Notamacropus eugenii: one gene and its partner. The protein of the gene in region 2 binds, or shares a complex with, the protein of the main gene of each other region. Links are inferred from orthologs where the notes say so. Each region holds a gene or a part of one and is shown on either strand. Other genes may lie near its edges.

Evidence for each region. Proteins that work in one complex are often made in the same cells at the same time.
Region 1: SMARCC2 (region 2) and SMARCD3 share a complex: the UniProt entries of both Homo sapiens proteins name them as parts of the BAF complex. The link is inferred for Notamacropus eugenii from reciprocal best matches to the Homo sapiens genes SMARCC2 and SMARCD3.

The regions. Positions count from the first base shown.
Region 1 is NC_092874.1:94,747,123-94,754,117, reverse strand, and holds the start of SMARCD3 (SWI/SNF-related matrix-associated actin-dependent regulator of chromatin subfamily D member 3), read right to left. Parts: upstream 3,046-6,995; 5' UTR 2,947-3,045; intron 1-2,946. UniProt on the Homo sapiens protein: Involved in transcriptional activation and repression of select genes by chromatin remodeling (alteration of DNA-nucleosome topology).
Region 2 is NC_092874.1:231,452,486-231,459,616, reverse strand, and holds the start of SMARCC2 (SWI/SNF complex subunit SMARCC2), read left to right. Parts: upstream 1-4,095; 5' UTR 4,096-4,134; coding exon 4,135-4,245; intron 4,246-6,680; coding exon 6,681-6,800; intron 6,801-7,131. UniProt on the Homo sapiens protein: Involved in transcriptional activation and repression of select genes by chromatin remodeling (alteration of DNA-nucleosome topology).

The DNA.
Region 1 (6,995 bases), about 140 Mb from region 2:
CAGTTGTTTTCTGTAGTGTAGGCTGAAACATAGCTAAGGTCAATGAATGGAGATGGACAGGGGGAAGAAGAGTAAAAAGTAGGATATGAGAGAGGGAAGGAAGCAGGTCACAGAGAGAAGAAAGGACGGCAAGAAAAGGAAGCAGGGAATGGGGCTGGCAGACAGGGGTAATGACTCCTGGTGTCAGTCTAAGGCAGCAGGCAGGCCAGAGGTGCCCGAGGGGGAGTAGGCATCACAATAAAAGGTCACAAGTTGGAATAATATCCAAGAAGCACAAGGTTCCAAAACTGATATTAGCTTAAGTCTTGGCAGGACAAACACAGGGGCTGAATTGGGCACTGGGGCATTCACATGCTTAAGAGGCATGTAAGGTTCCGTTGTTGAAGATAGGCAGTACTGGAATGATAATGACAACAATGATCATGTTAATAATAACTAATCTCATACAAATCTACATCCATGCAGAGCATCACCAAAGCCCCAAGAGGTAGATACTACCGGAATTTTGGAGGCTGTGCCCCCACAGCGGGTAAGAGAAGGGTCATGAAAGGAGAGGACAGAGGTAGAAGCACTGAAAGGGAGATGGAGCCATTGTAAGGGGGACGGAGGCAGAAGCTGAGACAATTCATGGGGGATGGAGGCAGAGCCAGAACAGGAGACACTGAGGCAGAGGAAGAGTCAGGGGCAGTGGGGGAAGGTGACGAATGAGGAGAGAGCAAGGAGACAGAGCAAGTACAGAGGCAGGGAGAGACAGACAAGGTCTGCAGGAGGGACATGAAGGGGAATGGGGTAAGAGGCATCCTAAGTACAGGGTACGGGGGGAGGGGGGAGAGATGCAGAATCGGGGCCTGTGCAGGGAGGATGGAGTCAGGTAAATCAATCAAGGTAAAGGGGACAGCACAGAAAGGACAGGGTCAGACAGAGAGGCCAGGCCAGTGCAGGAAAGCCCGGGGCAGAGCCAGTGAGGGACAGGGTGAAGACAGGCAGGGCCAAAGGGAGTACAGGGTTGGGGGGGAGGTGCAGAACTAGGGACAGAGGCAGTCCAAGAGGTGGACAAAGGCAGAGGCAGTGTAGAGGGGGAGGAGGGGAGGGGGGAAGAGCCAGTAAAGGGAGAACAGAAGCAAAGGAAGTGGAAGGGAGGGAAGGAGCCAATGCAGGGAGGATGGGAACAGAGGCTGCTGTGCAGGAGGGACTTAGACATAGAGCGGGGTGGGGAGGGGGGGGAGGGAGCAAGAGGCAGAGGCAGGGCCAGTGCAGGAAGGATGGAGAAAGAAGCAGTGCAAAGAGGGGGCGGGGCAGAACCAGTGCAGGGGAAATTGATGGGGCCAGGTCAGGGGGGAATCTGTAAATCTAAGCCTCAATCTGTACAGGTAGCTTAGTGGTGATGGAGCAGAGGAGAAGGGCAGTACCGGGGACAGTCCTACTGAAAGAAGCCAGGTTTATAAGACGCTAATTTCTCAGTCTTGAAAGTCCCCTGTTAAGCTCACTGTCCACATAACCACAGTGAAAGTTGGTCATAGCTTCCAGCTTGGCTCTTTGGAGACAGATCTCCACAATCTTCCCAGTCACACCTGGACAGATTAAATGCTACTTCTTGCCCTTACCCTCCCTCCCCTACTTTGCATCTCAGGTTTACATTCACATCTGGTGACAAAAAAAGCCGCAGTCTTAAGGAGTTAGCCTTGCCCTGGTGGAAAATAAACAATATGGGGTAGTGAAAAGAGGACCTGCGGTACGATTTTAACTGTTAAGACCTTTGTGACGTTAGAGAAGTAATTCTGGCTTCAGTCTCTTATCTCTAACATGAAGGGGTTGAACTAAATGGTTTCTAAGATACTTTCTAGCTTCTAAATTCTAAGAATCTATCTATTTTTTAAGTGAAATTCTCAATAGTCTAACAGGCTTGCTTCTGGGGTCCTAGGCTAATCTTCATGGCTGAGTGTAAGAGGAGAGGATGCTCTATAGAGGGGGTCAGGCATAGGAGTCAGTGCCAGAGGTGTGTCTATATGGACATTCTAGATCATGGAGTAGTCATGACAGGTAGGGAAGGCAAGCAGAGGGGTGTTATCAGGGGAAGAATACCTGTGGATGGGTAGGATATATGTGTATGCTCGTGTGTGTGTCTGTGTCTGTGTGTATGTGTGTGAGAGAGAGACAGACAGACAGAGACAGAGAGAGAGACAGAGAGAGACAGAGAGAGACAGGGAGACCGACAGACAGACAGACAGAAAGAACAGGCTAGGTGATGTTAAGAAGCTAGGGTGTTGAGGGGGATATATTAGGTGGGGAGTGAACAGAATGGGCAAATAGGAAAGGGCTTAAGGGGTCAAAGATAAGGTATACCAGAGAAAGAGAATGTTGGGAGTGTGCCCAAGCTGTAAAAGGAAAAAGAGAGGTATTTTCAATAGGGAAAGGAGCCTTTTCAAGACTGAGGGGGAGGAGGAGAATGGGGGGAGAGAGATGTCAAGTGGGGGTGGAGTGTGTCAGAAAGGAAGAGGATGCCCCGTTCAGGACAAGAAGGATGCCATGAAGAGGGGCTAAGGGGATGCAAATTGGGGGAGAATGATACAGGGGTGGAAGAATGAAGGAGGAGATGCCAGGGGTGCGTATGTGCCAGGAGGGAGATACCAGTCTGGGAGGAGAGAGGGAGATGAGAAGATGCCAGGCAAGGAGGGGAGGGGCTGTGCCAGGAGGGAGATGCCAGTCCGGGAGGGGAGGGGTAGATGCAGGCAGGAAGGGGAGGGGGTGATGCCAGAAGGGAAGGCGATGCCAGTCCGGGAGGGAAGGGGGAGATGAGGAGATGCCAGGTCGGGAAAGGCGGGGGGAAATGCCGGGGGGAGGGGAGGGAGGGTGACAGGCAGAGAGGGGAGGCAGGGGAGACGCCAGTTGGGAGTGGGGGCTGCCAAGCAGGGGGGCTGCAGGGCCCGGGCCGCCCAGGTGGCTCACCTGCTCCCGGAGCTGCTCCGGTTCTGGCCCCGGGACTCCCAGCCCCGCGCTCTGGCCCCGGCCCCTCTCCCCGGCTTGGTGCTTGGGCTCGGGCTCGGCCAGCCCGGGCGCCTGCGCCGCTGCAACCCCGGAGCGGGGGAGGCGCAGGGAGCGTCTGAAAAGAGCGTGGAGCGTGCGGCGAGTTAGGGATCGGAGCAGGGAGCGGTGAGCTGCGGAGGGGAGCCCCCCCATCTCGTTCCTCCCAATGCATGGGGCACCGCGCGATCTTCAGGAGCCCCTGCCCAAGTCCATTTTGATGCACGCTCGCACTGATCCACACATGTCCATTTGCAGACAGTCACACAGGGGTCAGCCCCCAGACCAACACCCACCTAGACATAGACCCACTCTGACACGGGCATGCACACTGGCGGATTTACAGCCCCCAAGTCACCCGCAGTTCGTCATTTAGAAATACGTCTGGAGGAAGGAAAGTCCACCTTTGGGGCAGGACTTTAGGGTTGGGATTCTAGCAAGGGTCTAATCACCCCCGTCCACCTCCTGGGCCTGGTGTCTGTGTTGACTTATCAACCAAAAGAAGCCAGGTCTCTGTGGGGTCAGTGAGCTGACCTGGGCATCCTGAAATTATTTAGTGGATTATATTATTTCAGGAACCCATCTACGAAGAAGACAGGGCCCCAGACAGCTGGGAATGGGGCTGACCTTATGAGTAGGAGGTGAAGGCGGCATCCCACAATGATGGAGCTGCCGGCAGGAAACTGTATTAAGTAATTCATTTCTCTTTTCTGTGCCTCGGTTTCCTTGCCTATGTGACAGTAGCTGTCCTAAGGAGCACATAAGCCTGAGCCCTGGCCACCTATCATGCTCTATGGAATGGCTACTCTTACATTTCTACAGACAAGAGGTTGTCCAGATGATCTCTGGAGGTAACTTTCCAATTCTAATTTTCTATGAATCGAGAGCGTAGAGATTTTCAAAGCACTTGATTCCATGCAAGTCAATCACCTCTCCAAGCTTGTTTCCTCCTCTACAAAATGGGGGAAATAATTCTTGTGCTAGGTACCCATCTCCTAGGGGAGTTAAAGAGTAAACTGGGTAGCCAGTGCTGGTGAGGACCCCATGCAGACAGGCATGTGGCACAACTGTAAATTGCACCAACAGCTGCTATCAGCTCCATCTTCTCTCCCTTCCTTCTAATTGCAAAGTTGTTTCTGGTTCTCTGACCCAGAATTGCATGGCCTCCTACCTTCAGCAGGAGCACAGTGAGAATTTTTACAACTACTGCCCTTTTTGTCCTGAGAAGGGTACCCTTCTCCTTTTCTGAAGCTGGGCTGTCTCATTTTCTTCTCTCCTAAATGTGCGATGCCTACAGACTTTTCCATTTTCCAGTGTCCTTGGGAGACCACACACAGACCACCCATAAACAGTGATGATTTTTAAAGGCGCTTATTAAAAGAAACAAAGGGGGAGGAGGGGAATCTACTGCAATTAGAATGAAACAGCTTTATCTGTTCCTTAGTTACAAAATTGTTTCTAAATCTTTGCCCTACTTCTCTCCCTATACAAATAGAAACAGCAAATGACGAGTTGGAGTCCTTGGCTCTTGGCCATAGGATCTTGGGTAAATCACTGAATCTCTTGAAGCTACAGTTGCCTCATCTGTAAAATGGGGACAAGAATAAAAATTTACAGTAAGAGCAGGCACATTCTAAGTCCTCTTCAAACATTCTCTGATACTGTAATACCTTACTAAGTTGTTATGAAGATCAGAGAAGAATGCATGTGAAAGTGATTTGTAAACTGTTAAAAAAAAATACAAATGCAAGGAAATAAATTGTTTTTTTTGAACTCTGAGAGGGCTTGGTTCAATTCATACTAGAGAACTCCCAGAGTCTCTTGGCTGACTCTTGCCTTGAGTTCTTGTCCATCCGATAAACTACCTTTTAATTTTCCTTCATCATTTTCATTTCATCAGTTGCCTGAAGGAAAATGACTCTCCATCCTGACCTAAACCTGCCTGGTTCTAAGGTTCTCAACCTAGTCTTCCCTTCCCTGGAATGGGGTGTGACCCTACCGTTTCCTGTTCCTGTTACCAAAGGTTGCCTATCTCCTTGGTCTAGGAATTAAGCTCATTTACATCCACAGGCTGGGCTCCCCTTAATCTAGCCTACCCTGCTCAGGTTAACAGATTGGACGAATTTCCCAGGTGTGCCACAGTGACCTTATCCAACCAGGCATTTGTAAGGGTTTTCTTCAAGGTCCTTTCATTACATTCTTAGAATGAGATATTTTCAATACATAGCATCATAGAATCTAAGAATTGGAATACGTGTCAGAAGTTATCTGATCCGAATTGCCTCCTTCCTCGTACAGAATCTCTTATTTTGTGCCAGGAATTATCCTGTTCTCCTTGGATCAGTACTCACTGTGCCTGGCGCATAGCAGATGATTAATGTTTGTCAATCGACTTGGATTAGATATACTACCAGCATACTAATGACCTTAGAGTTTACTTAGTTCAACTTTCCACTCAAGGTGTGACTCCTCTCTACAACATTTCTAACAGAAGGTCCTTCTGCTCCTGCTTTAACACATTCATTAACAGAGTTCATTACATCACACAGCAGTCCATTCTACTTTCAAACAGCTCTAATTAGGAAATGACTTCTTATATAGAGATGCAATCTACCTTTCTGTATCTATAGTCCTTATTAAACTGGTAAGTAAAGAGCATTTTATCTCTTTACCATATCCATGTTAAAAAAAAACCCATTCCTTTCAAATGAGCATGAAAGCATAGAGTTAGAGCTAGTTCAACTCCTCATTTCACAGGTAAGGAAACTGAGGCCCAGAAATGCCACATCTTCATTTGCCAGAAATTCTCCAAGGCTATGTTAAGCCACAAAAGAAAGAAGAGGTAGGAATAAATAACACAGCCACATTTTGAGTATCTAAATATTGTGAACTGAAGCTTGGCACATTAGTAATTATGTCTTGCACAGGAGAGATATATAAAATAATTTAGTTGAAGATATATGTGACCAGAAAAGGGCTGGTTATAGAGTAAAATCAAGGGATAACAGATGACCAGCTTCATTGCTGCACTGCTGCACTGCTATGCAGGAAATATTAAAAGCATCAGAGAAATACTTTTAGTGCTTTGGGTATATTTTCTAAAGAGGATGTATGACATAATATCCCCTTCCAGGTTCATTCCCCTAGTCCACACAGGCACTGGCAGTTTAGATCCCCAAAGAGTGGCTGCTACTCTTGTCATAGTTCTAGGGGTAGTGTTTTGGGTGACTATTCTTAAACTGTAACACCATAACTCTCAAGCCCCCACCAGAGTGCTTCCCATTAATAAGCCATAAGACTCAGTTCTCATTAAAGGCATTTACTCAAACGGTATAGCAAGAACAGAAGTTACTAAACATTTCCCCTGGGAAACATGGGGCCTATTCTCCCACAGATATAAACAGAGTCTATGACAAGGTGGGGAGAGAATAATGGCTGAAAACTTAAAATGCAGTGGTAATGAGGTATGTATGTAAGAAACACATGACTAAGACAACTCACAACTTTGTAAAGTTTTGATCTATTTCCTTTCTATAAAGGGCTCTTAAGAAGGTCACTGCTGAGTGTTAAGTTGGTGATGGATAAGCTCCTTCCCTGCTTAGCGGGTTAACTGGACTGGCTTTTCGAAAAGCAAGGTAGCTCAGTTAGATATACAGCTCAATTGGTCTTGCTCCTCATAGGAAAGGGGTCAATATGTTGCTAAGCTGGATCAAACAGTTCACTCAGCTACTGAAGTGGCTCTTCACTGGACTTGGATGTTACTGGAATGGACCAGACAGACTACTCAGCCACTGGGATATTGCTAGACTGGGCCAGGAAGGCTACTCTCCTGCTGGGCAGGTAGCGCTGGACATGGCCAACAAGATACCCTGATATTGGACTGCTACTGCCAGAGTAGTCCAGGAAGATCTCTCAATCAATGGGTTATGACTGCCTTGGCTGTGTCAGCCAGATTATTCAGCTGCTGGGCTCTT
Region 2 (7,131 bases):
GATATTCATGAGATACACCAGTTAGCAATTTGATAGAAAGCTACCCTATACCTAGGAGTAGAGAGACTGGTCATATTGTTTTGTGTACAGAATGGTTCCAGAGACTGGCAATGATCCTGCAAAGCAATCCACTGTAACCATTTATCACCAGTAGGTGAGTTATTTGGATTTTCTGAAAGGCAGACAAAAAGTGTTGGACATTCATTTCAGTGGATGATACACGGAAGAAATAACTTTCTAGTCATAAAGACTCAAAGATCCAGAAACTCATTTCAAGTAAAGAATATTCTACAAAATCCCATTCAAATGATAGAAAAGGTTTAAACTCAGAGGCAATAGCTTTCCTATCTAGCACTCTAACTGTAGAGACTGCTCTGGTTTCTACATGTCCTGACAGAATGTAGTAACCCAGGTAGCCAGGCTGGACCAGTTGAGATTTAGGAGAGCAGGACTATAGTCATGATGAGGATTTATGATTCAACCACGCAATCAATATAGCCCAAGGAAAGAAACAGATGTTGTTCTTCCTTCATTTTGAAGAGGATGTCTTGACTTGGATGTGAATTAAAATGAGGCAGAATTGTGCAAAGTCATCAGCCTCTCTCTTCCAGATTCATTAGAAATCCAGCGGCAGGACAGAAGTCAAGATGACTGGCAATGGTCTGGTTTGCTGTGGATGATGTTGGCATTCCACATCGCCTGCATCAGCTGTCTTCATGGTTGTTGGAACAAATTGTTCTCATTTGCCCATTCTACCAGGGGAAGTCTTCACATACTTGGGGTAGACATCTCCCTCACTCACTGACCAGTCTGAAGCCTGTCGGGTACCCTTGACCTGGTTTAGCCCATCTGCCAAGATGGTATTATGGGGCTCTGGCTGTTGCTCCTGCTACAGCTTTTTGGAACTACAAGTGAGAGTTGGGTGAATCAGATGGACACCGAAGGTAGATAAGCAGCCCTGAAAAGTCCTGAAAAGGTGTTAGTCTAGGGATAGGAGCAGTTAGTTCAGTAGAAGAGCTACAACTCTCTGACCAATGAGCATGCTAACTAAGATGTATCAGGTGAAAGATGTTAAATGGATACAACATATATAGCCAGGTGATGATAATGTTTATGCATATAATATGTACTTTGTATGTAATTTCATTCTAAATTCATTGATGCATATCATTTACAGCATGTATTACGTTATTTTTCTTGTGTTTATTTATTCATATATATCAGGCATTTATTGTAGTTGCATTTGCCTAACTATTCAGCTTTACTGTACGTTTAGTTATGTTTCTTTTTCTTCAAATCTTATTTGTAGACCCACCAATGTCATTTCTCCTTTGATTTTGGTATTTGAATATTGGCTTGTGTCCCATGGATACCCATGTATTGCTGTGATACTGCATATACTATGTTCTACGTGTAATTTAAACCTGTAGTCAATAAAGTAGCTTGTCAAGTGATGTTTTGCGTTTTTGAGCTACGTCTATCGGGTGTATCGTTGGTGTGTATTTGTTGTTAATAACTGGGATGCTACTTTCATCATCCTTTGCTCTCTCCAGTGCTGCTATTTTATCTGATGGTCGGCTGCTGTGTACATCCAGAGGCCATGTACCCCAGCTGATTCTTGAAAGGGACTGCAAAATTCTAAACCCTGGGAAGAATGCAGCCATTTCGTCAGTCTTCCGGGTAAAAAGTCTGAAATCCAACTGGAGTTCGAGAAAAAGAAAGCGGACCTCTTCAGTTCCGAGTCGGAAGATTTTACCGTCACAGTGGGGACGTTCCCCTGAACTCCCAAACTTAACTAACTGGAAGCCGAGGGACTTACGGGAGCCTGGATCCCCAAGTCGGAACACCGCCGGACTCACCAGGGCTCCGGGTCCGGCGGCCCTCCCGTCGCCCCCCAGGCAGCCCTCGGCTCCGGACCTCGTCTGCAGCTGAACCAAGTTCAGTTCCGAGCGACAGACACTGCCCAGCTCTTTAGCTCACCCCGGAACCCTGGAGACCAACTAGTAAAAATCGGGCTGGCATCCAGAGTTTCACAAAAAAGGGAAAAATAACAAAGATACTCTATGTACATATGTCAATCAGGTGCGGAACACACAAGTAACTGATTACTGCTGCGCACCAGACTCAAGATGCACGGACCGACCAGAACTCCGCGTAACTACAAACGTCAATTACCCGTCTGGTAAGTTTCCTTACGCCCCACCCCCCACCGCAGCTAACAAAGGTAACGTAGAGTAATTAACCCCACGTGGGCAGATTAGGAAACAGTCAGGCCTAACCGTCAACCGTCGGGACTTGAACCGAGGACCTGCCGGCTCCCAGACGCCGACGTTCCCTCGGCGCCACATCGGCTCCCGTCTCAGGCTTCCGTCTGTCTAGCTCCAGCCTTGTCCAAGGAATTTCCCTACCAGCACATCAGCCTCATGCTAGCACCCCACTTAAGACGTGCAGGCGCGCCCGGACTGGGGGTCACCCTTCAGCACCCCTCGCTCTCGTCTCTCTCACTACACTCCCAGAAGGCGATGGATGTCATCACAGCCATTCTATATCTTTGCTAAAAACGTCTCTGCCTCCCATTCAATCTAACCTCTAACTAATCACAGCCCTGCCGCCCCCTCCAAAAAACGAATAAAAACGAACAAGAGCAGGCGGACCCAGAAGTGAAAGGGCTAGCGGGACGGAGACTCGAGCAGTTCTCCCCCGGGCTGTGCCCTCTACACCCCGAAAATCCAGGTGCTGAGCCTTTTTTTCCCAACCGGAACCTACTCTGTATGAATTAGGTTGGAGCCTCCCTTTTCTTGGGCAAGGGAAAAAAAAATAAAAAAAAAAAAAAAAAGCAGCGGCCGTCACGAACAGGATTCGAACCTGTGCGGGGAAACCCCATTGGATTTCGAGTCCAACGCCTTAACCACTCGGCCACCGTGACTCCCGGGCTGAGCTTTTGCCGCGCGCTTATAGGAAGGGTCGCAGCAGCGTGGAAAAGGCTGCGGGCCGACAGACAAATTTCTCCCTCTAATTCTCGGTGCAGATGCCCCTTCACCCCCTCTCTCCGTGGCTCCTCACCGAAGTTTGGGAGAGAAGGCTCGGAATCCCCCCAGGAAAGGGCGGGGCCGGGATCAGCTCGGAGAGAGGGGGCAATGGTGTGCAGGGGCTGGAGCCCCCGAGGGGGCTTCCGGGAGAAGGGAGAATGGCTTTCTCTTCACGGGGGGCCCGACCCCTCCCACTCCTCTGTCACCTTCGACGATCTCCCCTGCCCCCCAAAGACCTCCCTCAATCACCGCCCCCGTCCCTTATTTCCGGGTCATTCTCTCCTCTCCCAGTCCCTCATTGACCCCTCTATCATCACCCCCCTTCCCTCACTGACACCCCCATTACTCCTCCAGCCTTTACTGATCCCCTCCGTCACTCCTTCCGTACTACACCGATCCCCCCAGTCACTCCCCTTGTCATCCCGCCTCAATCCGCTGTCATTCCTCCCGCCCTCCAGTGACCCCCGCTGTGACTCCCCCGCCCTTCACTGAACTGTCAGGCTCCCCTCCCCTGACAACCCCCCCATGAGTGCCCCCTCACTGACCCCCCCGGTCAGTCCCCCTCCCCACACTGACCCCCCACTACTCCCCCCTCCCCGCACTGACCCCCCCGTCAGTCCCCCTCCCCGCACTGACCCCCCCACTACTCCCCCCTCCCCGCACTGACCCCCCACTACTCCCCCCTCCCCGCACTGACCCCCCACTACTCCCCCCTCCCCGCACTGACCCCCCCACTACTCCCCCCTCCCCGCACTGACCCCCCCGTCAGTCCCCCTCCCCGCACTGACCCCCCACTACTCCCCCCTCCCCGCACTGACCCCCCCACTACTCCCCCCTCCCCGCACTGACCCCCCCATCGCTCCCCTCTCCCCTCACTGGCCCCCCCCCCCAGTCAGTCCTCCTCCCCTCACTGACCCCCCCCCGTCACTCCCCCTTCCCTCCCGCGGGCCTTCACCACTCTGGCCGGGCCCGGCAGGGGGCGCTGCGTTGGGCCCAGGCGGCTGCGGGCGGCGGGCGGAGGAGGAGGCGAGGCGAGGGAGCGGGGCGGGCGGTGGCGGCGACGGTGGCGGCGGCGGCGGCAGCTGGGGGGGGGAGCCAGGAGAAGATGGCGGTGCGGAAGAAGGATGGCGGCCCCAACGTGAAGTACTACGAGGCCGCAGACACCGTGACCCAGTTTGATAACGTGAGGCTGTGGCTCGGCAAGAACTACAAGAAGGTACGGGCCTGAGCACAGCGCGCCGGGCCGGGCCGGGCCGGGCCGGGGCCCCGGGCGCCACAAAGGGCGCCGCTTGGACCCCCCCCGCCGCTGCCGCCCCCTTCCGTGGGGTCCCCGCGATCCCCACATGCTGCGGGCCACCCTCGAGCAGTCGGGCCGGGCCCCGGCCGCCTCTGCCCGCTGTCCCCTCCCCCGCTGTCTTCCTCCTCCTGCCCCCTTCCCCACTGTGCCCTCTCCCGATACCCCGTCCCTTCCCTGCCCCGCCGCTCCCCAGGCCCCCCTCCCCCCCGCGACCTTTACCCCCTCCCCGCTGTCCCCCCCTTACTCCTCACGTTCTCCCCCCATGTGTTCTTCTATTTGTTTGATTGCCTCCCCTTCCCCCGGTCACCCCCCCATCCAATGTCCCTGGTTCCATGAGTCTCCCGTCACCACCATCCACTGAGATCACACATGCAAAGCGCTTTGCGAACCATGAAGCGCTATGAAAATAGTAGTAATACCATCATCTTCCTCTTTGTGGTTCATTTGAAAATTCTCAAGAAGGGCAGGAGCCAGCCAGGGAGAGGGAGGAGGAAGAAGCCGACTGGGTACTCCCCCGGGCCAGCCCCGGTGCCCAAGGGCTGGGGGTGGGGGCGGGAGTTGAGGCCTCCCCGAGGCTTTGTGTGTGTAGAGTATTGGGAGAAGGGAATGAGGAAAAGCAGCGGGGCAGACACCCACCGGGAAGGCCTCCCTCCTGCTCTTGGCCTGGGGAGGATCTCCGTGCTCTTACCTGTCTAGCCTGCCTCCATCCGAGGGGAGGCCAGAGGACAGGGGATGGTGGGTCTCAAACAGTGTCTCAGCATTTACAGTGAAGTCCCCACTTTGGGCCTCCCTTGACTTGAGGTCCCAGTGTGGAGCCCAGTCCCAACCTTTTTACCCAAGACTGGGGGGGTAAGGGAGTGAACAAAAGGTCTGTGGAACGTGATCCCCCCCTTCTACGGGCCTTTCCTGGTTATGTCCTTTGTCTGGAAGGCTGATAAAAGGGCAGCATCCACCTATGTTGTGTTCTCTCCCCATAATCAGATTCTCCGGGAAGAATCTGCTCCTTTTCACTCTTCCCCACTCTTTCTTACAAGGAGGAAGACAAGTTTTGTATCTTTTTTCCTTCTTGGTTTTCTGGCTTTCAGATTCTCCCTACCCATCCTTGTTTCCTGTTGGAGGTTGTAAGTGGTGGTACTGTTGGGAGAGCTCTGGTCTGTGAAGCCCCTTTCCTCAGGTTCCAGATACATTTGGATACAAGCTAACCTTGTTCTCTGGGGTCTCTCCAGGTGTCAGAATCCTGACAGTCAGCTGCTCCATCTGTTGCTTGTCTGTACTCAGCATGGGGCTCTGATTTCCAGGCAGTTACTAGCTCTGACCTTTGGGAGGGAGAATAAACTGGGGGCTTAGTAAGTGGATTCTGGGATGAATTGATTGCCCGTGATCTGGTGTGGCTTTTATACTCCTGGGCTTTTGTCATTTACTTTTCCCTCCTGTGACCTCTCCTTTCCCAGAAGCTATTTTCCCTGCCTCCCTCTGAGAGGGATGTTGTCCTCTGTGATTGGGGTGGAGGAAACTGGGGTCAAAGGGTTAAAAGAAATCCTAGAGGTTCAGTTTAACATGAATTCTTGGAGAGAAGTATTATATGGGGATGTCTGGAAAAAGTCCAGAATTGTTTTGAACAGCCTACAGCGATCAGGGTACCTGCCTTCTTACCAGGGCTTGTATCCAGCCTAGTTTATTCAGGGATAGTAGAGCTTTTTGCCTGCCATTTCTCTATTAGGCAGCATGTGAGTACGGTCTTCCTTATGTTATTATTATCTTCTAGAGGATCTATTATAAACCAAAGGCCCCTCCACAAATATCCTGTAGCAGTTCTATTTGGCCTGTCTTTCTTAATGACCAATTTGCCAAGATTTTCTTCTCTCCCTCTCCCCCAAAAATGTTCCCACAAGTTAGTGGACAACCTTATTCTGTTCAGTGAGTCCTGAAGAGCCTCCTTCTCTCCCATCACCTCCACATAGGCTGGATTCCATAAAGCCTGAGGCTTTTATGACCCAGAGTACTGTTGTGGCATCAAGATAAGAGGGTCCTGGCAGCTCACATTACAGAGTGAAGCTCAAGAAAGAGAAGGAAATTCTTCCCTCTTGGGCACTCAGTACTAAACTGCTTCAGTTATTTGCTGGCAGAAGAATTTTTACCTCCTGGAGCTCTTTCTGCTGCCCTTAGAACTAGGTGAAGGTGCCTCTTGTCTGCCTTCTTTTCACACATAGTTTCTAGCCGTTGTCTGAGGAGAGAGGCTTCTAGAATGTCTCCACTTGACCTTACTACCTTTCTAGGGGCCTTTCTCTCAAGCTTGGGGCTTGTGGGAGATATAATGGGAGTCTTCATTATTCCCTTTCTCCCTCTCCTCCTAGTACATCCAAGCTGAGCCACCCACCAACAAGTCCTTATCTAGCCTAGTGGTACAGTTGCTACAGTTCCAGGAGGAGGTATTTGGCAAACATGTGAGCAACGCACCACTTACCAAGCTTCCGGTGAGTCTACAGGGCCAAGGCAGGTGGGTATCCCAACAACCTGGGGAAGGACCTAGACTATTTAAGTACTGTATCTCTCCTTCCCCAGCCAACCTTAGAGTATTGCTGGCTTAGCCCAGTGAGGCTGTCTCCAGATATTACCAGATCTGTCACTTTACCCCCTAGGCTACTCTACCCCTGTCTAGGGATTTGTCAGAAGGATAAAATAGTTGAAGAAATGCCCTCAGCTTAGGAGCAGATATTATTGCTGTACTTTGCTTTCTGAAGTGAAATGATAAGGGGGGAGGGAGTAGGTCGCTTTTACCACTCCCTCTTCAGCTGCTGCTTCCAC